Ovis aries: one gene and its partner. The protein of the gene in region 1 binds, or shares a complex with, the protein of each later gene. Links are inferred from orthologs where the notes say so. Each region holds a gene or a part of one and is shown on either strand. Other genes may lie near its edges. The genes, in order: ARF1 and AP3B1.

The links.
Region 2: the proteins of ARF1 (region 1) and AP3B1 are in contact, whole or in part, in a cryo-EM structure (PDB 9C5B), measured with the Homo sapiens proteins. The link is inferred for Ovis aries from reciprocal best matches to the Homo sapiens genes ARF1 and AP3B1. Residues at the interface, in NP_001019397.1 of Homo sapiens: Glu17, Arg19, Tyr35, Ile46, Pro47, Thr48, Ile49, Gly50, Phe51, Asn52, Val53, Glu54, Lys73, Ile74, Leu77, His80, Tyr81, Asn84; in NP_003655.3 of Homo sapiens: Glu52, Asn54, Pro81, Val84, Lys85, Val87, Ala88, Asp111, Leu112, Leu114, Leu115, Ile117, Ser118, Thr119, Gln121, Arg122.

The regions. Positions count from the first base shown.
Region 1 is NC_056058.1:2,766,970-2,775,460, forward strand, and holds ARF1 (ADP-ribosylation factor 1), read right to left. Parts: upstream 5,062-8,491; coding exon 4,914-5,061; intron 4,840-4,913; coding exon 4,729-4,839; intron 4,640-4,728; coding exon 4,515-4,639; intron 4,363-4,514; coding exon 4,201-4,362; downstream 1-4,200. Other genes in the region: C5H1orf35 (multiple myeloma tumor-associated protein 2), read left to right, coding at 96-141, 229-308, 506-848, 1,293-1,298. UniProt on the Homo sapiens protein: Small GTPase involved in protein trafficking between different compartments. Modulates vesicle budding and uncoating within the Golgi complex. In its GTP-bound form, triggers the recruitment of coatomer proteins to the Golgi membrane.
Region 2 is NC_056060.1:9,379,937-9,389,853, reverse strand, and holds the start of AP3B1 (AP-3 complex subunit beta-1), read left to right. Parts: upstream 1-3,265; 5' UTR 3,266-3,412; coding exon 3,413-3,540; intron 3,541-9,917. UniProt on the Homo sapiens protein: Subunit of non-clathrin- and clathrin-associated adaptor protein complex 3 (AP-3) that plays a role in protein sorting in the late-Golgi/trans-Golgi network (TGN) and/or endosomes.

The DNA of each region.
Region 1 (8,491 bases):
GGTGCGCGCCGGGGTTGGGTGGGATCGCGGCGTGGCTGAGGGAAGAGGTGAGGCGAGGCTCGCCGCTCCCTGAAGCTCACGCGCGGCCCCCGCAGAGGCTACAAGAACGTAAAGAAGCAGCCCACCGGCCTGAGCAAGGAGGTGAGATGGGCTCTTTTGGAGGGTGGGACTGGGTTGGGGAGGGGCCTGATCCCGCTCTCCAGTGAGCACTTGCACTCCCCTCCACAGGATTTTGTCGAAGTTTGTAAGCGGGAAGGTGGTGACCCCGAGAAAGGAGTGGACCGGCTTCTGGGTCTGGGGAGCTCCAGGTGCGGGGCCGGGGGGTCCTCGGGAGCCCCAGAAATTTCGAGGGTGCGGCTTCTTGGGGCTTGGCACTGTCAGCTGCCTAAGGCGGAAACCAGTACGGGTCATCTAGGCCAACCACTCCTCTAGGGAGGCCTGGGGATGGGGGGTGCCCCCTTGTGGGGACGTTTCACCATAGAGTGTTTTACCCGCGCCCCCGCAGTGGCTCTGTAGGGCGAGTGGCGCTGTCCCGGGAAGACAAAGAGGCCGCTAAGCTGGGGCTGTCGGTATTCACGGTAATTACTCCCAAGTATGCTGGGATCTCATGGTGGGGTGGGAGTCGGTCTGAGCGCCTCTTCCAGTTGAGGGCCACGAGGCAGGCCGTCTCCCCTTGGGGAGGCCCTCCCAGCTTCTGGCTGGTTCTTCCCTGTCGGTATGCTGGGGCACCCTGCACGCCCCCAGAGTGGCATTTCTTGGCAGCACCACCGCGTGGAGAGCAGTCGGCCAGGGACCTCCTTGGCTTTGGCCAAGAAGAAGCCTCGGTCAGAGGAGAAGGTGGAGCCGGGGTAAGGGCCCCCTGTCCCCTCCCAGGGCACAGAACTGCTTTCTCTCAGCGTGCTGGCTGCTTCTCCAGTCAGGGTCCCAGCTCCAGCCCCGTTTTTCTTCTGAGGAGCCCTGGGGGGCAGTGAGCCCTAGGGAAAGCTCCTGGCTGCCCACCAACCTGCAGCAGGGTCAGGGGCACTGGAGGGCGTCAGCACTTGGCCCCAAGAGTGCAGGGGCATCCCAGTGGGAGGGCTGGAAGCAGCTATGAGGTTGTCAGGTAGGTGCTGTCCTGCAGACTTTTTGCCATAGTCGTGTCTGTGCTGCTCACGGTAGCCGCTGGCCACACATGGTACTGAGTTATTCTTAGTGACTTGAGGTTGAAATGGCCACACATGGTCAGTGGCTACTGTGGTCTAGACCCGCCAAAGCCCCAGAGGCTTCTAGCACTCGTGCACTCCCCCCTGTAGTCCTGAAAGCCACAGGAAGAGCAGGAAAGAGAAGAAAAAGAAGAGGCACAAGAAAGAGAAGAGAAAGAAAGAAAAGGAGCATGGGAGAAGGCTGGATTCCTCACCTCCCCCTGCTCCCACCCAGTAGGTGCAGCTGCCTGGGGGTGGAGATGAGGGTGTGCTTGGCAGGCCGAGCCCCTCACCCCAGGCATCTCGCGGTCTCATTAGGCATGACTCTGACTCTTCAACTTGCTGCAAGAAGCGCAGGCACGACAGCGACTGAGGCCCAGGGGTCTGGAGGACTGGCCTGTGGGGGTTACCCCAGGCTCCCATAGAGGCTTGCAAGTCCCTCGGTCATGTCCAACTCTTTGCAACCCCGTGGACTACAGCCCGCCAGGCTCCTCTGTCCATGGAATTCTCCAGGCCAGGATACTGGAGGCTCAGTTGTGGTCCAGTATGGCTACTTCTATTTTTCTTTGTATTGACTCACTCTTTGTACTTAAATAAACTTATTTTAAGGGGAAAGTGTCTTATACTAACAGGAAAGTTGCTGTTGTGTCACAACAGAAAGTGACGTGTGAAAATGCAGTGAATCTTGGGAGTTCCAGCAAGGCCGTCTGCAGTCACACTGAGGGGCACTGTCCTTTTGGTGGTCAGCATCCTGGGGTCCCCTGTTGGCCTGGCCCCTGCATCTACTTCAAGTGTACCAAGAGCCCTGGACTATGTGTGGTCAGCAGGGAGGGCGGAGGGACCAAAAGGTGCTCAGCTGCAAGCAGGTGACCATGCTAGAAGGGGGCAGTCGGGCTGGGCATCTAGATCCTGGGGAAGGAGACTTGTACCTGCAGCCACCCTGTCTTCCTCGGCCACCAAAGATCTTCTAACCACTGTCCCACAGGTACCCACCCCTGCCCCCCTGCCTGCTGTAAAGGCCCTGGGTCCCTCCACCCAGCCACCTCCAAGGCTGAAGGCACACATACAATATTGCCATCCATAGAAAAAAAGAAAACATCCTACAAACCACACTGGAATAAAGACAAAACCTAGACTGGATTCATTACCTAGGTTCTTGTTTTGCTGCTGATTTTAAAAGAAATGAGAACTGAAAGCAACTCTGTCTTAAAGGCACTCGGCACTGGTTATCAACCTGTGACTAGGGTGGAGCCTGCCTCCTGGGGGAAGGCCACCTGGACTCTGGCCTACCAAAGGCTGCCCAGTGGGGAAAACAAGGGTCCCAAGAAGGGCTCCAGGTCAGAGGGGCGACCCCCGCAAAAGTGGGAGGGGGGTCTATGGCACAGACACAGATCACCCAGCCAGGCCTGTGTCAACTACTGAGGCAGCAACACTGGAGACTGTCCTGCCCCTCCAGAGGACAAGCTGTTTGGCCTGGGGGTACCAGAGACAGTGGATGTTAGGAAGGGTGTGTGTGTGGGGGGTCTCTTCCATACCAAGCTTGGCCCTGGCCCCTGGGGCACACCCTATATGGTGACCCTGCTGTTCCTCTCATGACTGGGCACTGCAAAGCCTGGGACCAGGGGGCTGGACTGCCAGCAATGAGACCAACGAGGTGGTTACTACCAGGGCACTGGAACATGCTCACATTGGACCATGGCAAAGTGAAGGTGGGGGCATGGGCAGGGAAGGGGTGAGCAGAGCGAGAATGGGGCAAGGCAGAGCCATGTGGCCCTCACTAAGTGAGCAAGAAGAGGCTGTCCTTGCCCAGCTCCCAGAGGGCAGGCTGTCAGGGGCACCCAAACACAAGAGAGCCATGAAATAGTTAAGAGATTTTATTCTAATAGCTGTAATTACAGTGCTTGTTTGTCGAAATGAAAACTGAAAACAAGTATACAAAACAGTTGATTACTAATTGTGTATTGAAAGCAGTAAGAGGTTCCACGACACCAAATAAACCAGCTCTGAGGTTTTCCCCAAGATAAAGTTTAACAGCTCCAGCTTCTTCAGTGTTTATCAAAATACAAAAGAAAAAAGTAGAGGTTATCATTTTCAATGGCAAATCTGACCCTTGCAGGCTGAGGGAGTGAAAGCACATGTAGACAGGGGCTCTGAGGGGCTGGGGCTCAAGGATGACCACCCGCACTCCTGCTGGTGAGACCCCAGAGAGCCCGGAGCAGGCAAGCAGGGGGGCTGCAGGCCTCCCGCTCCAGCCAGGGCGTTCCAACCAAAGTGCCCATGCTGACCCGAGAAAAGGCCGGGGTTCTTCCAAGGGGTCTGAGAACGGCGGCTGCAGCCTCCACCCCATCTCCTGGGCGGCCACGTATGCACAAATACAAGCACAAACGCTACGGGGGGTGGGAGGACCCGAGACAGAGCGAATCACAGGGACCCTACTGTGACCATGCAGAATGGGTATCACGGCTGGTTCTGCCCCGCTTCATGTTCCCAGCGGGAAACAGACCACCGGTGGACTGGACTCAGGCCGTCACCGCAGAACCTACATTAGGCACATTTCTCCCTTCTGTGTGTTCAAGTGTTCTCCTTATTTTGTATTTGTAACTATTTTAAAAAATGCACTGAGTTTGGGTTAAAAACCAACCACCAAAATGGATCTCAACACAGACCTAAAGCCCAGAGGAGGAGTATTGGGCTCGTCTGACACACAACTCCTGGATGACCCGTGTGCCTAAAATCCCTTCTGAGTACTAAACAGTGGGTTGATTTTCTTTTTACAATAAAAAAAGCTGAGTAATATTGCATAGGAGTACCAGAAACTGCCTCATTGGAAACAAAAACTATTTACATTAAATAAAAACCCAGTTGCAGGCTGCGTCTGCACATTTACAGCATGGTGAAGCACACTGTGACCGACCATGGAGACAGCTTCTGGCACTCACACCACAGGGGCACGTTTGCCACATGAGAGTAAAGCGAGGGTAGAAGGAGGGAGTGAGAGGGGAGGAGAGAGGATGACAGCTCATTTCTGGTTCCGGAGCTGATTGGACAGCCAGTCCAGTCCCTCGTAAAGCCCGTCCCCGCTGGTGGCGCAGGTAGCCTGTATGTACCAGTTCCTGTGGCGCAGAGAGTGTAGGCCCAGCTTGTCCGTGATCTCGGCCGCGTTCATGGCATTAGGGAGGTCCTGGGGGTGGCAGCACAGCAGGCGTGGGTCAGGGGGAGTGCATGGAACCCTTTCTACCTGACCTGTGGCCCCCCAGTCAGACCTCCAGCCCTGAGAGGCTGGCTGCCTGACGTGCACCCCCACTGGCACACAGGGTGTTCAGTCACACGTACCTGTTTGTTAGCAAACACGAGCAGAACGGCGTCCCTGAGCTCGTCTTCTGCCAACATCCTCATGAGCTCCTCGCGGGCCTCATTCACACGCTCTCTGTCATTGCTGTCAACCACAAAGATGAGGCCTGCAGAGGGGACAGTAAGCGTGACTGCAGGCACCCGGGACACCCCGAGCCCCACTCCTGAGGCGTGTAACGGGGCAGCTCACTCATACCTTGTGTGTTTTGAAAGTAGTGGCGCCACAGAGGCCGGATCTTGTCCTGGCCGCCCACGTCCCACACAGTGAAGCTAATGTTCTTGTACTCCACGGTCTCCACGTTGAAGCCTGGAAGAGAGCCGGGTGAGCCTATCCCCAGGGCCACCACCACCTCCCAGCCTCCCAAGGCCCAGCGTCCTCACCAATAGTGGGAATGGTGGTCACAATTTCACCCAGCTTCAGTTTGTACAGGATGGTGGTCTTTCCCGCAGCATCTAGGCCCACCATGAGAATGCGCATTTCTTTTTTGCCAAAAAGGCCCTTGAAGAGGTTTGCAAAGATATTCCCCATGCTGCACACCGGTGGGGGCAACACTGGCCAGAGAAACCTGCAGGAACAAGGAGTCCTGGGGTCTTTTTCTGTGCTGCCCAGGGCCAGGCAAGCAGGAGCAGCTCAGAGACCGCTCACCCAGAGCCAGGCTGAGGCAGCTGCTCCTCTCACAAGCTGATGAAATTCTGGTTCCTATCCAAAAGAAAACGGTCCTGCCCACCTACCTCTTGAGCCTCTAAATCAGCCTAACAAGGCAGCATATGGGACTCTTAGAACAAGGCTGACTGGAATGTGAAGCGGCTGCTCCATCATCTGAGGAACTTATAGCCAAGGCCTGAGGGCACCTTACCTCTAAGTCCTCCAACCCGCCACTCTGGGGTGCAGTAGTGTGGCTTTCAAATGGACGCTAGGCTCTCCATAACCTAATGCACAGTTCTTCAAGGGGCCAGAAACAACCACTTCAAGGCCCTACCATGTCTCCCAACTGCCCCAAGTCTCGATGAAGCAGAGTTCAATGGTAAGACAACTAACACCTGAGAACCTAGGAGGGCCCTGGCCAAGACCAGGAGCCAGCCCTTCCCAACATGCTGAGAGCTCAGCACACCCTGCAGGCAGGACTGGCTGAGTGAGAACACCCAGGGCTCAAGAGCAGCACACCTGCTGCTCAGTCCAAGAGTATTCAGCCCAAGGGTGAGCCCACAGCATGGCCACGTTAGGGAGCACCTTGCCAAGACCTGTGGTCAGCGCTGGTCGGAGAGGTGGCCTGCGCGGTGCAGCCACGAGTGTGCAGAAGCGCACGAGTGTGCAGACGCGCACGAGCGCTGTGTCTGCACCGCCCCCCACCCCCCGCCAGCTCGCCTCACTCAGCAGAGCAGACTGGGAGCAGCCACTGAGCTGACTGGACCCCAGGTCCGAGCCCAGGCCCCGACACCCAGACCTGCAGGAAGGGGTGAGTGATCACAGAGGTGGGGATCTCTTGTACTGGAAGACCCACATATGGCCTCTCCACACTCAGTATATTCATCCTTCAACTATTTTATTTCCAAACAGGGCTTTAGGAAAAAAACAGTCACTTTCTCAAATGCTTAGGAAATCTGGACTTAGCACCTAAGGTGAAGTCAAGCTGTGGAGGGCTGAGCAGCCTTCAACTGGGCAGATTCTGTGCGAGTGTTGACAGAAAACCAAATCAACCACAGAGAGCTTGTTCTAAGCTGATGGGAGATGCTCACACCTCATCACTGGGAGGGTGCTGGTGGAGGCTATTGTTGAGGTTGGGAAGGAGTCTTGCCCTGCATACCTAACCTCCCAGAAGTAACTATGAGCTTCCCAGTGTTTGAACTTTGGATGGATACTGCTTGGGTAAGAGGCCAGTTCCACGGAGGACGCAGATACGGGCCTGCCACAGGCACTCCCCCCTCCATTCTACGTAGGGGTTGTGCCCCAGACCCCCACCACCCCACGTCAACTCTGATGACAGGCTCACGTGGAGCTGCCAGGTCTCCATCGTAAGCCCCTTTCTGCCTTAGCCATCAGGGAGCATCTGGGGACTATGTACACGTTCCGCTTCTCATCCAGCTTCCACCCTCTAGTTTCAGCATGCTGACATTTCCTGGCTGAATTACTGCCATCAGGACTGTTCTAACGGTGGTTTTCTACAGTCATTCCTTCCAGCGTTAGTTAGCCTTCTACCCAAGGAACCAGCACTCTCTCCTCCATACACTGACACGGTGTGAGCTTGGGAATTCCCAGTTTGCTCAGTGGGTCAGACCGCCGCCCCACTGTGACCTAGATGCGCCAATGGCCTTAGGGGCATCCAGCGGAGCCCCTTCTAGCAGGCCTCAGTGCTCTTTCAACATTTTAAAGTTCTTTTTGGTTTTGAATAATATTACCTATTTATAAAATTAACATTTAAAAAAGATCTTTACTATGGTATTTCCTTTTCGGCAGACAACCACTTTTCCTAAATATAGAGGATGATAAATTATGGAAAACAGAATGAACTGAACGCGTATTTATCTCAGCTTATTTCTGAAGTCACTACCAATAAAGAAGTAAAGGACCGAGAGCAGGTGCAATTCTGGTGGGGTCTGGCCCTGGCCAAGCATCATCCTCAGCCCTGCAGGAGAGCCAGGCGACCTTTTTGGAGCAACTGAATCAGGGGTCCTCACTCTGCTCTCCAGTCAGAGGAGGGCACAGGGTGCACTGTTCTGGAAACAGAGGAATATGGCGAGATCAACAGGGAGGCACCCTGCCGCCACAGACCTGCACACAAGACATAGAGGCCTCAAGGCCGGGACTGAACTCTTACACCTGGAGGCCCCCAAACATCCATGCCCCTATCTCCCTGTAAGAAGCCCCCAGTGGAACTGACTGAAACAAAGAATTTGGAGAGAAACAAGACAGAAGAGAATTTAAAAAGAAAAGTAAACAAACAGAACCCCCAAGCCACACACCGCCCTAGCACCAACGTGGTGGAGACGTGGAGCCCATCAGACAAGAACAGGGCGTCAGGACAGACACGGCAGAGCTCACAACCAGCGTGAAGCAATCCACACATGCACGAGCCTCAGAACAGGGAGACCGGGAGCAACGTAGAAGACCAACATCTACCCTGAGTATGATGATGACTTTTCAGACACAACACCAAAGACATGATCCCATGAAAGAAAGAGCAGCCATTCTGAAAAATGTTTGGAGGTTTCTTACAAAAGACTCTGAACATGAAACTCAGCCCTCATGTTCCCAAAGTGGCTGCAAACGAGCAACCACACAGACACCTGCACACTGATGTTCACAAGCCTTATTCATGATTGCCACAACCTGGAAGCAACCATGATGTCTTTCCGTAGGTGAATGGATAAACTGTTTGGTAAATCCGAACAACAGGATGTCATTCAACACTAAAAGAAAAGTGCTAATATACAGATAAGTGTACATTATTATTATAGTATAAATGTGCATTGAGTGAAAGAAGCCCATTTAAGAATACTATACAGTGTATGATTCCAACTACGTGACATTCTGGAAAAGGCAACTGTGGAGAGAGTAAAAGATCCTTTCAGTGGTTCTGAGGGGTCAGGGGGAAGGGAGGATGAACAGGTAGAGATAGGGCATTTTTAGACAGTGAAACTATTCTACAATGGTTGATACATGCCATGATACATTTGTCCAAACCTAGAGAACGCACAGTACCAGGAGTGAACCCCAAGATCAAGTATGGGCTCTGAATGATGGTGTGCCAACGTAGGCTCATCAGCTGCAGTAAACGCACACTCTAGTGGGGGACACAGCGAGGAAGGCTGTGTGTTTCCCTCAATTACGGGGCGAACCTAAACCTGTCCCCTGCAAAGAAAGACACAAACACTGCTTCCCATCTGCAGTTCTGTGTCAACCAAACTATGGGGTCAGTGAAAGGGCAGGACAGAGAGGTCACCAGTGCCAAGTCTCACAT
Region 2 (9,917 bases), on another chromosome or scaffold:
GCCATCTATTAAGCATATACCATCATCATCAACATTATCATCATTATCATCATGAATAATCAGCTGTAGATTAAACTCCATAGATCGATCAATATCATCATTATTGACAACAACACATTTTAAGTGCTTCATTGTCTCATCCCTGGAGGAATATTCAAACATGAATAAAAAACCTGCCACGTTTTGATCAGAATATGAAATACGGAGGGCATTCTTCTCTCTCCACTAGAGGACCTAGAACTGCAGTCATGCTTGTTACCAATGTTAACAGTGTGGCTTTTCTTTTTAAAATTAAACTCTTAATTTTTGTTAAAACTTTATTTCTTAGAAGTTTTAGGTTCACAGCAAAATTGAGAGGAAAGTATAGAGATTTCCCATATATGCCCTGCCCTTATACATGCACTGCTGCTGCTGCTAAGTCACTTCAGTCGTGTCCAACTCTGTGCGACCCCATAGACGGCAGCCCACCAGGCTCCACCATCCCTGGGATTCTCCAGGCAAGAACACTGGAGTGGGTTGCCATTTCCTTCTCCAGTGCATGAAAGTGAAAAGTGAAAGTGAAGTCGCTCAGTTGTGTCTGACTCTTTGCGACCCCATGGACTGCAGCCCACCAGGCTCCTCCATCCATGGGATTTTCCAGGCAGGAGTACTAGAGTGGGGTGCCATGCACAGCCTCCTCATCACCGCCTCTTCATTAGAGTGGTCATTTGTTACAACTGATGAACTTTTACTGACCCATCATTATCACCCAAAGTTCACAGTGTCTATAAGGTTCACCTCTGGTGTTATTCATTCTGTGGGTTTAGAGAAATGTATTCTGATACATATTCATCATCATGGTATACAGCGTATTCTCAATGCCCTAAAAATCCTCTCTTCTCTGCCTATTCATCCCTCCTCTCCCCAAATGAATCCTTGGCACCCACTGATGCTTTTACTGTCTTATAGTTTGGCATTTTCCAGATGCCATATAGTTGGAATCACAGAATATGTAACCTTTTCAGATTGACTTCTTTCACTGGGATGCATGCTCAGTTGGTAAGTTATGTCCAACTCTTTGTACCCTATGGATTGTAACCCGCCAGGCTCCTCTGTCTATAGGTTTTCCCAGACAAGAATACTGGAGTAGGTTGTCATTTCTTTCTCCAGGGGAATCTTCTCGATCCAGGGATTGAACCTGTATCTCCAGCATCTTCTTGTATTGACAGGCGGATTCTTTACCACTGAGCCACCTGGGAAACCCCTCTTTCACTTAGTAATGTGTATTTAAGATTCCTCCACATCTTTTCATGGCTTGATATCTCCTCTCTTTTTAGTGCTGAATAATATTCCACTGTCTGGATGTGCCACATTTTAGTTACACAATTACCCACCGAAGATACATCTTGATTGCTTTCCATTTTGGTGATTATGAATACAGATGCTAGAAACACCTGTGCATGTTTTTGCATGGACATGTTTTCAACTCCTTTGGATAAATATGAAGGAGCACAATTGGTGGATTATATGGTAAAAGTATGTTTAATTTTGTAAGAAACTGCCAAACTATCTTCCAATGTGGCTGTACCATTTTGCATTCCCACCAGCAACAAATGAGAGTTTCTTGTGCTCTATATCCCCACCAGCGTTTGGTGTTGTTAGTGTTGTGGACTTCGGTGATTTTAGTAGTAGTAGGTATGTGCTGTTGTTTAGTCAGTAAGTCGTGTCCTACTCTTTTTTGAGATTCCATGGCCTGTAGCCTGCCAGGCTCCTCTGTCCCTGAGATTTTCCAGGCAAGAATATTGGAATGGGTTGCTATTTCTTTCTCCAGGGGATCTTCCCCACCCAGGGATTGAACCTGGGTCTCCTACATTGTAGGCTTTACTGCTGAGCCACCGGGGAAGATGTGTAGTGATATCTGATTATTGTTTTCACTGTGGCCATTAGAGGATGTGAAGACCACATTCTGATCCTTATACACTTCGGACCCGCCCCACGCACTGGCCCTATGGGTTGTGTTTTACTGTGTGTGTGTGTGTGTGAGCCGCTCAGTTTGACTCTTTGCGACCCCATAGATGGCAGCCCACCAGGCTCCCCCGTCCCTGGGATTCTCTAGGCAAGAACACTGAAGTGGGTTGCCATTTCCTTCTCCAATGCATGAAAGTGAAAAGTGAAAGTGAAGTTGCTCAGTCGTGTCCGACTCTTCGCGACCCCATGAACTGCAGCCTACCAGGCTCCTCCGTCCATGGGATTTTCCAGGCAAAAGTATTGGAGTGGGGTGCCATTGCCTCCTCCCGAGAATACTGGAGTGCATAGGTATTCCCTTCTCCAGGTGAACTTCCGGTCCCAGGGATGGAACCCAGGTCTCGCGTGTTGCAGGGGGATTCTTTACCTTCTGAACCACGAGGGAAGCCCTGTGTTTCACTAGTCCCCTTACAGTTTCTAACTTCCAGGCTCTAGGTTTCGGAGCTTGCCTAAACCGGAAGCAGTGGAAATAGTGCGCAGCATGCTCTGAAATCCACCCGAAATATCAGGTGTGAGGGGGGCAAGTTACTCCTGAAAAAGTTTCTCACGTGCTACTCTGGAGCCAGGCAACTTTCTGCCTGACTCCCCTTAAAACTTTAGTAAGTGCTACCACAAGAAGAACAAAAAGAGGTGCCCAGATAATGGGCTACTTCTGGTGTTCGGGACAGCTCTATTTTTTTGTTTTTAAACGCCAGTAGGAAGCACGCCGTTAGCTCCTTGGAACCAATGGCCCCAGGATTTTCCTTTGAAACTACAATGATCCCATCTTGGCGGTGGCAGATCCCAGAAAGACAGGGTTTTAGAAACTTCCTTAAAACTCAGAGCTCTGCATAAAGATTGCCTGGGGCAGAAGTAACAGCAAGACTCAGCAGGCTGGAGGGAAAGCATTAGAAACCAGCCTAAACAGGAAAAGCAGTCCTAATTAAGTTTAGCAAAGTTGATCTGGTGTGTTAAATGGTGTTTCAGGAGAAATCTGAAAACTTCTGGTTTACAACAAGAATCCAAAAAAAGAGGTGTCCGGCCCGGGGAATCTCCTAAGGGACCAAAATGGATACGTGGGTATCTGTCTCCAAAAAAAACCCCCACCTCTAAAAAGAGCTTAGTCTTTAGCCCGCTGAGGGCCTGCCTAGCGCAGAGGCTGGGTTCGAGCCGCTCGGCTACCTCAAAAGCCCGGAGGCGGGAACTCCAGTCCGGCCCGGGAGTGGCCGGGGGGTGGGCTCTGGCCGCACGCACACTGGGCATGCGCAGGGGGTGGCCCGCCGGGTCGGCTTGGGAGCCGTGACGAGTCCGGAAGCGCCTGCGCGCGCCCCTCTGCACGAGAACTAGTTTTGTTTCCAGTCGCTGGGACCGGAGCCCGTCAGAGAGAACCCCGGGCAGGACCAGCTCGACACCCGGCGACCCCGCGGCGATGTCCAGCAACAGCTTCGCTTACAATGAGCAGTCGGGAGGAGGGGAGGCGACGGAGCTGGGTCAGGAGGCGACCTCAACCATTTCCCCCTCCGGCGCCTTCGGCCTTTTTAGCAGCGATATGAAGAAGTGAGGAGAAAGGTTTGGGGTGTGGGGACGGGACTGAGGGGCTGGGGCTCCCGGGACAGGGGCAGGGTCGCCCTGAGACCGTCCGGGAGCGGAGCGGGCGTTTCCTGCCGCGCTATCGCTTGGGAGTGGTGGGAGTTGTTGGGAGTGTGGGTTGAGTGTGTGGAGGGGTTCTCTAGGAGTTTTCAGACTTTAGTGAAAAAGAACCATTGGGACCGCTTAGGTGCCATCCCCAAAGACCCCGACTGGTCTGGGGCCCAGGAGTCTGAATTTTGAGCAAACACTTCAAGCTAGTTTAAAGTTTGCTTGATGCCACCTGGAGAAATTCTCTCTCTAGGGTGGAAGGATTCAAGTTTGGGGAGCTGAGAGGGAAAGTTAGATTGTGTCTTATGGGAACCTGTTCTGTGACTCTTGAGTGTAGAAGCAAGGAGGTGTTTTAGGCGCTTTATGAATGAACAAGCTGGTTTATTCAGGCACCAGTGTTCCCGGAAAATGTCTTTTGCATTACAGACCAAAAAAGAAAAAACAAAACCCCCCACCAAAAGTATAAGACAACCCCCAAACCAAAAAACAAAGCTAGGAAACAGTAAGAAGCGTATGAGGAGAATATTTAGAGTGTGGGCAAGTGGCACAATTTTGCAAATAATGTGGATTTTAAAAATGAACCCTAAATAATGTATACGTGTGTGTGTTTTTAAAGTTATTACGAGTATTTTAAGTACCACCGAAAAAGGGAAAGAAAACACCCCGCTCATTGTTTTTTGTGTGTGTGGTGAGGGAGAGAGAGTGATTTTAAACTTACAGAATTCTGGTAACTTTGCATTTTTTGGTAATAATTTTTACATTTTTTCTTATTTTTGATCTCTCAGTACTTAGTGAACATAATAGGCTAACACTAGATTTATGCTGAACTTAAGGTAAAGTAGCTATGCTGGTGGCCTTGCGGTGTCAGAAAGATAAATTAAAATTCATTTTATTTAATTAAATAATTTATTTGATTAAAATTTAATGTAATTAAAAAATTATTTTAAAAGGCATTCTGGAAATTGCTAGTAGTTGAAGTTGAGGTTACATTTTGACTGTATTAAGCTAACTGAAACCTGTGTGGAGTGTGTGGAATAGAGTTTTTTGTTTATTTCCTTATTCTCAGGTTAGCAAAGTTTATAAGTAATGTAACTTCAGTAATTTTTCATTTTTCCTTCTATGCATTTAGATGATGGATTATTCCAACAAGAAGCTTGTTGCAGTTCTGTTGTTCTATTAGCAGAAATTTCAACTGTTAAATTAATGTTTAAGTCTGTAGAGTCTGTTTTACATGTGATATGCTTACAGTTGATCTACTTTTATGGATTGTGAACTTCTAAGGTGTTTTCCTCTTAGAGCCTTTCATTTCCTATTTTGTCAGATTTGGGTCTAATATTGAAAAAAATGTGTGGTTTTGACTGTGACCAGTGTTACTGAGGTGACTGAGCATGTTGGAGTTGAAATGAAAATAGCTGACTTTGAGTACTTCTGCACACTACTTTACATTGATTATCTCATTTGGTCCTCCTGACCATTTGGTCTGGCTGAGTGAGTATGACTTACGGAAAATTATTCTGTAACTTTGAGGTGCCACAGAGGATATAGAGCAACCCAAAAATACTTTGATTCCACTTTGCAGATGAGAAAATTGGAGCACAAATGGTTAATTTGCCTAAGATAACAGAACTAGAACACTGAGCTGCCTGAGTTTGAGCTCACAGTCTCATCTCAGAGCCCATTCTCTTGAGTATTTGGATATGCTGCTTGACAACGTTTATTGTACCTTGGTCTTCCCTTGTATTGCAGTTAGTAAAGAATCTGCCTGCAATGTAGGAGACCTGGGTTTGATTCCTGGGTGGGGAAGATCCCCTGGAGAAGGAAATAATTATATCTTATTAGAGAATGCAATCAAATCATTAAAACTTTACTAGTCGTAGAGAGTGTATGACCTTGAGGCTTTCAGGAATTAGAAACATTTTGGCCATTGAATTGCAAACTAGTGCAGTTGTACAGAAACAGGGACCTGTGTTCTGGAAGTGGTCACTTAACCTCTCTTGAGCTTACATTCTCTCATTTATAAAAATGTGATATTTCTTGCCTTTTTAAAAAACCCAAATGACAAAATTTATGTAAAAAACTTCAAGCTTACCCTAATCCTGTACTCTGATTTTTTTAATCAAAGTATAATTGACATCAACATGTTAATTTCAGATATACACCATAATGTTCAGTAGATTTTTTTATGTATTGAGAAATTATCACCACAGCAAGTCTGGTTAACATCTGTCACCATACTTACAGTTTGGTTCCCCCCTCCCCTCGAATGAGGACTTTGAAGATTCGCTTTTAGTGATTTTCAAATATGTAATACAATATTATTAACTGTAGTTACCATGGTGTACATTATATCCTCCTGACTTATTTGCTTTATAGCTGGAACTTTGTGCCTTGGACTTTCTTCACCCATTTCTCCCACAACCTCTGGTCTCATTTTTGATGATTTACTTTGAATGATTTTGAGTTTGCAAAAAAGTTGCAAGAATAATAGAGAACTACTCTTGATGTAGGCTCAGTTTTTAAAAAATCACTACATTGCTTTATTTCTCTTTCTTTCTCCATCCACACACAGACATACACACATTCGTATTATCTCTTATCCATTGGAGAATAGGTTGAGTAAGGCCGGACCCCGGGGGCCATGATGGGCCGCCCCTCCTCTCCCTGCCACCGGCAGGGGAAGTCCCTAATGGAAGGAGCCTCCCAGATCCCTGGGACCAATGACAGCACACTTCACCAGCTAAAGCCGCCCCACCCCAGCCACATAGAAGGACCTGTCAGCCCGCGATGCCTCGGCCTGGCGACCTGTCCGAATCCCGGTCCATCTAGCCTGACCATCCCTCGCAACCAACGTATAAAAACCACCCCCAACATGGTCTGGGCGCGGACTTCCTCGACGTGCCTCGTTGGGGTCCGGGAACCCCGCCCGGGAGCGCTTCACCATTAAAAAGCCTGTTAGACACTCTTTTGGTGTCCTGGTCTTTTACCTAACAGGTTGTATACACCATGTCCCTTTATCCTCATACCTTAGCATGTATTTTTTAAGAACAAGGATATTCTCATTCACAACTGCAGCACTGTTAGGGTTAGGAAGTTTATCATTATTACAATTTACAGTCTATAATCCTGTGTTGTCATTTGTCCCAATAAATACTTCTAATTTTTTTTAGCATTTTTTTTCTCTAGTGTAGAATCCAGTCCAAGATTATATAGTTTACTTAGTTCTCATATCTCTTTAATCTCCTTTAAACTGGAATAGTTACTTAGCCTTTGTCTTTCACTGCCTTGATATTTTTGAAGAACACAAGCCAATTACTTTATAGCATGTTAATCAGTTTGCCTTTGCTGGTGTTTCCTCACGTTTTGACTCTTGTTAAATATCCCAGGCTGCATTGCTACCTTCTTAGACTTTTGTGTCAGGAGGCATAGGGTGCCCACCTTTATAATGTTAATTTTCCCCGTTATAGGATTTTTTTCTAGTTACCTGTGGGGGGACACTTTGAGATCATACAGGTGTTCTGCTCTTCATTTGATCCACCATCCCCTGTACTTAGCCACTGTGTGTGAATCTCCTGCACCAGTCTTTACTACAATGTCTGCAGTGGTGATGTTTTTACTGGAGGATAATTGCTTTACAGTTTTGAGGTGGTCCCTGCCACACATCAGCACGAATCAGTCATAATTATATATGTGTGTGTGTGTGTTTGTATTCCCTCCCTCTGGAGCCTCCCCCTCTCAACCCCCAGTTCTATCCCTCTAAGTCATCACAGAGCACCAGGCTGGGCTCCCTTTGTTATATAGCAGCTTCCTGACAGTTGTTAACTTATTTTACAAATGATAGTATATATAAATGTCAATGCTACTACTTTCTCAATTTCTCCTAGCCTCTCTTTCCAGCAGTGTCCAGAAGTCTGTTCTCTACCTCTGTGTCTCCATGTCTTCTCTGTAAATAGGTTCACTGTTTTCCTAGATTCCATATATATGTGTTGAAAGAAAAGTGAAGGTGTTAGTTGCTCAGTCATATTCGACTCTTTGCAACCCTGTGGACTGTAGTCTGCCAGGCTCTTCTATCCATGGGATTCTCCAGGTAAGAATACTGGAGTGGGTTGCCATTCCTTTCTCCAGGGGATCTTCCTGATCCAGGGATTGAACCTAGGTCTCCTGCATTGCAGGCAGATTCTTTACCGACTGAGCCACTAGGTGTTAATACATGTTTGTTTTCCTCTTTTTGACTTATTTCATTCAGTATAACAGATTCTAGGTTCATCCACCTCACTACAACTGACTCAAATTTGTTTCTTTTTATGGCTGAATAATATTCCTATATATAAATATAATACACACACATCCCACCCCCCCACCCCCAACCCCACCCCCCGGCCACCCCTACAACTTCTGTATTGACATCTAGGTTGCTTCCATGTCCTGGCTGTGATAAATAGTGCTGCAGTGAACATCGGGGTACATGTCCCTTTTAGAATTGTGATTTTCTCAGGGTGTATGCCCACTAGTGGGATTGCTGGGTCATATGGTAGTTTTATTCCTCGTTTGTTAAGGAGTCCGTGCTGTTCTCCATATTGGCTGTACCAGTTTACATTCCTGCTCCCAGTGCAGTAGAGTCCCCTTTTCTCCACATTCTCTCCAACATTTATTATTTGTAGTTTTCTTTTTTATGATGGCTGTTCTGATTGGTGTGAGATGTTTTCTTTTGTCTTGAATGCTTATTTTAACCAGTTTGGCTGTGTGTGTATAATTTAAAATAGTAATTATTAATAATTTGTTTTTGGATTAAACATTTAATTAGAAATTAATTTCTAGAAACAGACAATACTAATTAGTTTTTTAAACAATGGTAAAACTACTGAATTTCTGAATCTCTCTTTTTTTTTTGAGAACATCACAGTGTATTAGAAAGAGTATTGGACCTAGAGTGAGAAGACCTGGGTTTAAGTTGATGTTTCTGCTTGTAGTAATGTTTCTTTGTTCAAGTTGCTTGATCTCTTCAGACTTCAGTGCCTTTATTTCTAGGGAGGGTATGATAATACTTGTCTATTTTGTGAGTTTTTCACAAGATGGTATAGTGGAAATGACTTCTGAACTAGAAGAGTGACTAACACTATTTGGAAACGGTCTTGAAAGCTTCACTGAGGTGGTAATATATTAGGTCATAAAGCCTGAGAAGATTTTTGCCTGTTGGAGAGTAGGGGGAGTTCTTCAGGCAAAGTATATAGAAACCAGGAGAGTTGCAAAAGAAAATGCATGTTTAGATGAAATATAGATTCAAGCATCAGCATTTAGAATTGTGGGCAATAATTAAAGTATGAGAATGGATGAAATCGCCCAGGGAAAACTTTTCTTTTTAGGAGAAGAGGCAGTTTAGACAAAACTGTAGGGAGCATCAATATTTAAGGTGTGAATGAATGAACAACTAGGGAAGGAGACAGTGCTCAGAGGGCTAGGAAACCAGAGGAAAGTTTAAAAAAAAAGGCAAGCTGAAAGGAGCAAGGAAGTGGTTAACTATGTTAGGAGTTGCTGAGAGAAGGCAGATGGAATGAGGGCTGAAAAGTGGCCATTGGATTTAACAATTCAAAGGTAACCAACGGAGCATTTTTTCAGTCCTTGCTGAAATTGGGGTGGTCTTTTCATTTGTTAGATTTGCAGAGCTGATGTAGCCCCAAAGGACTGCGCGCTTTTCTGTTGTCTTACTATATCGTGTAGTCCGATGTAATCAATATGTCAGTGTTTTTGTATTGCCTATGATAAAGCCTAGCTTACTTTTTTAACTTAAATTTTATTTATTGTCAGCTTTATATTATCCATGAAAATTACACTGCATATAACTCTTTAACCTTTACTATCAGTGTTTCTCAGTGGAGTCTACTAGGAATTTTACATGGGTCTCTGGTGTGTGTACATTATGGTAGGGTACAGTCCAAAGGGTCGCAAAGAGTTGGATATGGCTGAGTGGCTGGGCACACAACAGACAACACATTTAGCTCTATCCACACTGTTTTTTCTCACTTTCAAGGGGCGTATAGAAATGTGTGTGAATGAGAGTAACCTTTTTATAGGGATGTTCTCGAGTTAACCTTATTGAAAGTAAAGATGAACCAGTCCTATCGACCAAGAAAATGCAGAGGGCTACAAATAAAATAGTTTATTTGGGGTCTTAAGATTTGCAGTTCGAGATTGTACAGTGGAAAAGAGTCCAGAGTCTCATAAAGATGAAAGCCACAAAGTCATTACCTGGCAAGAACTATGGTTGACCACTATGCAAGGAAGTATTTGCTGTTAATGAA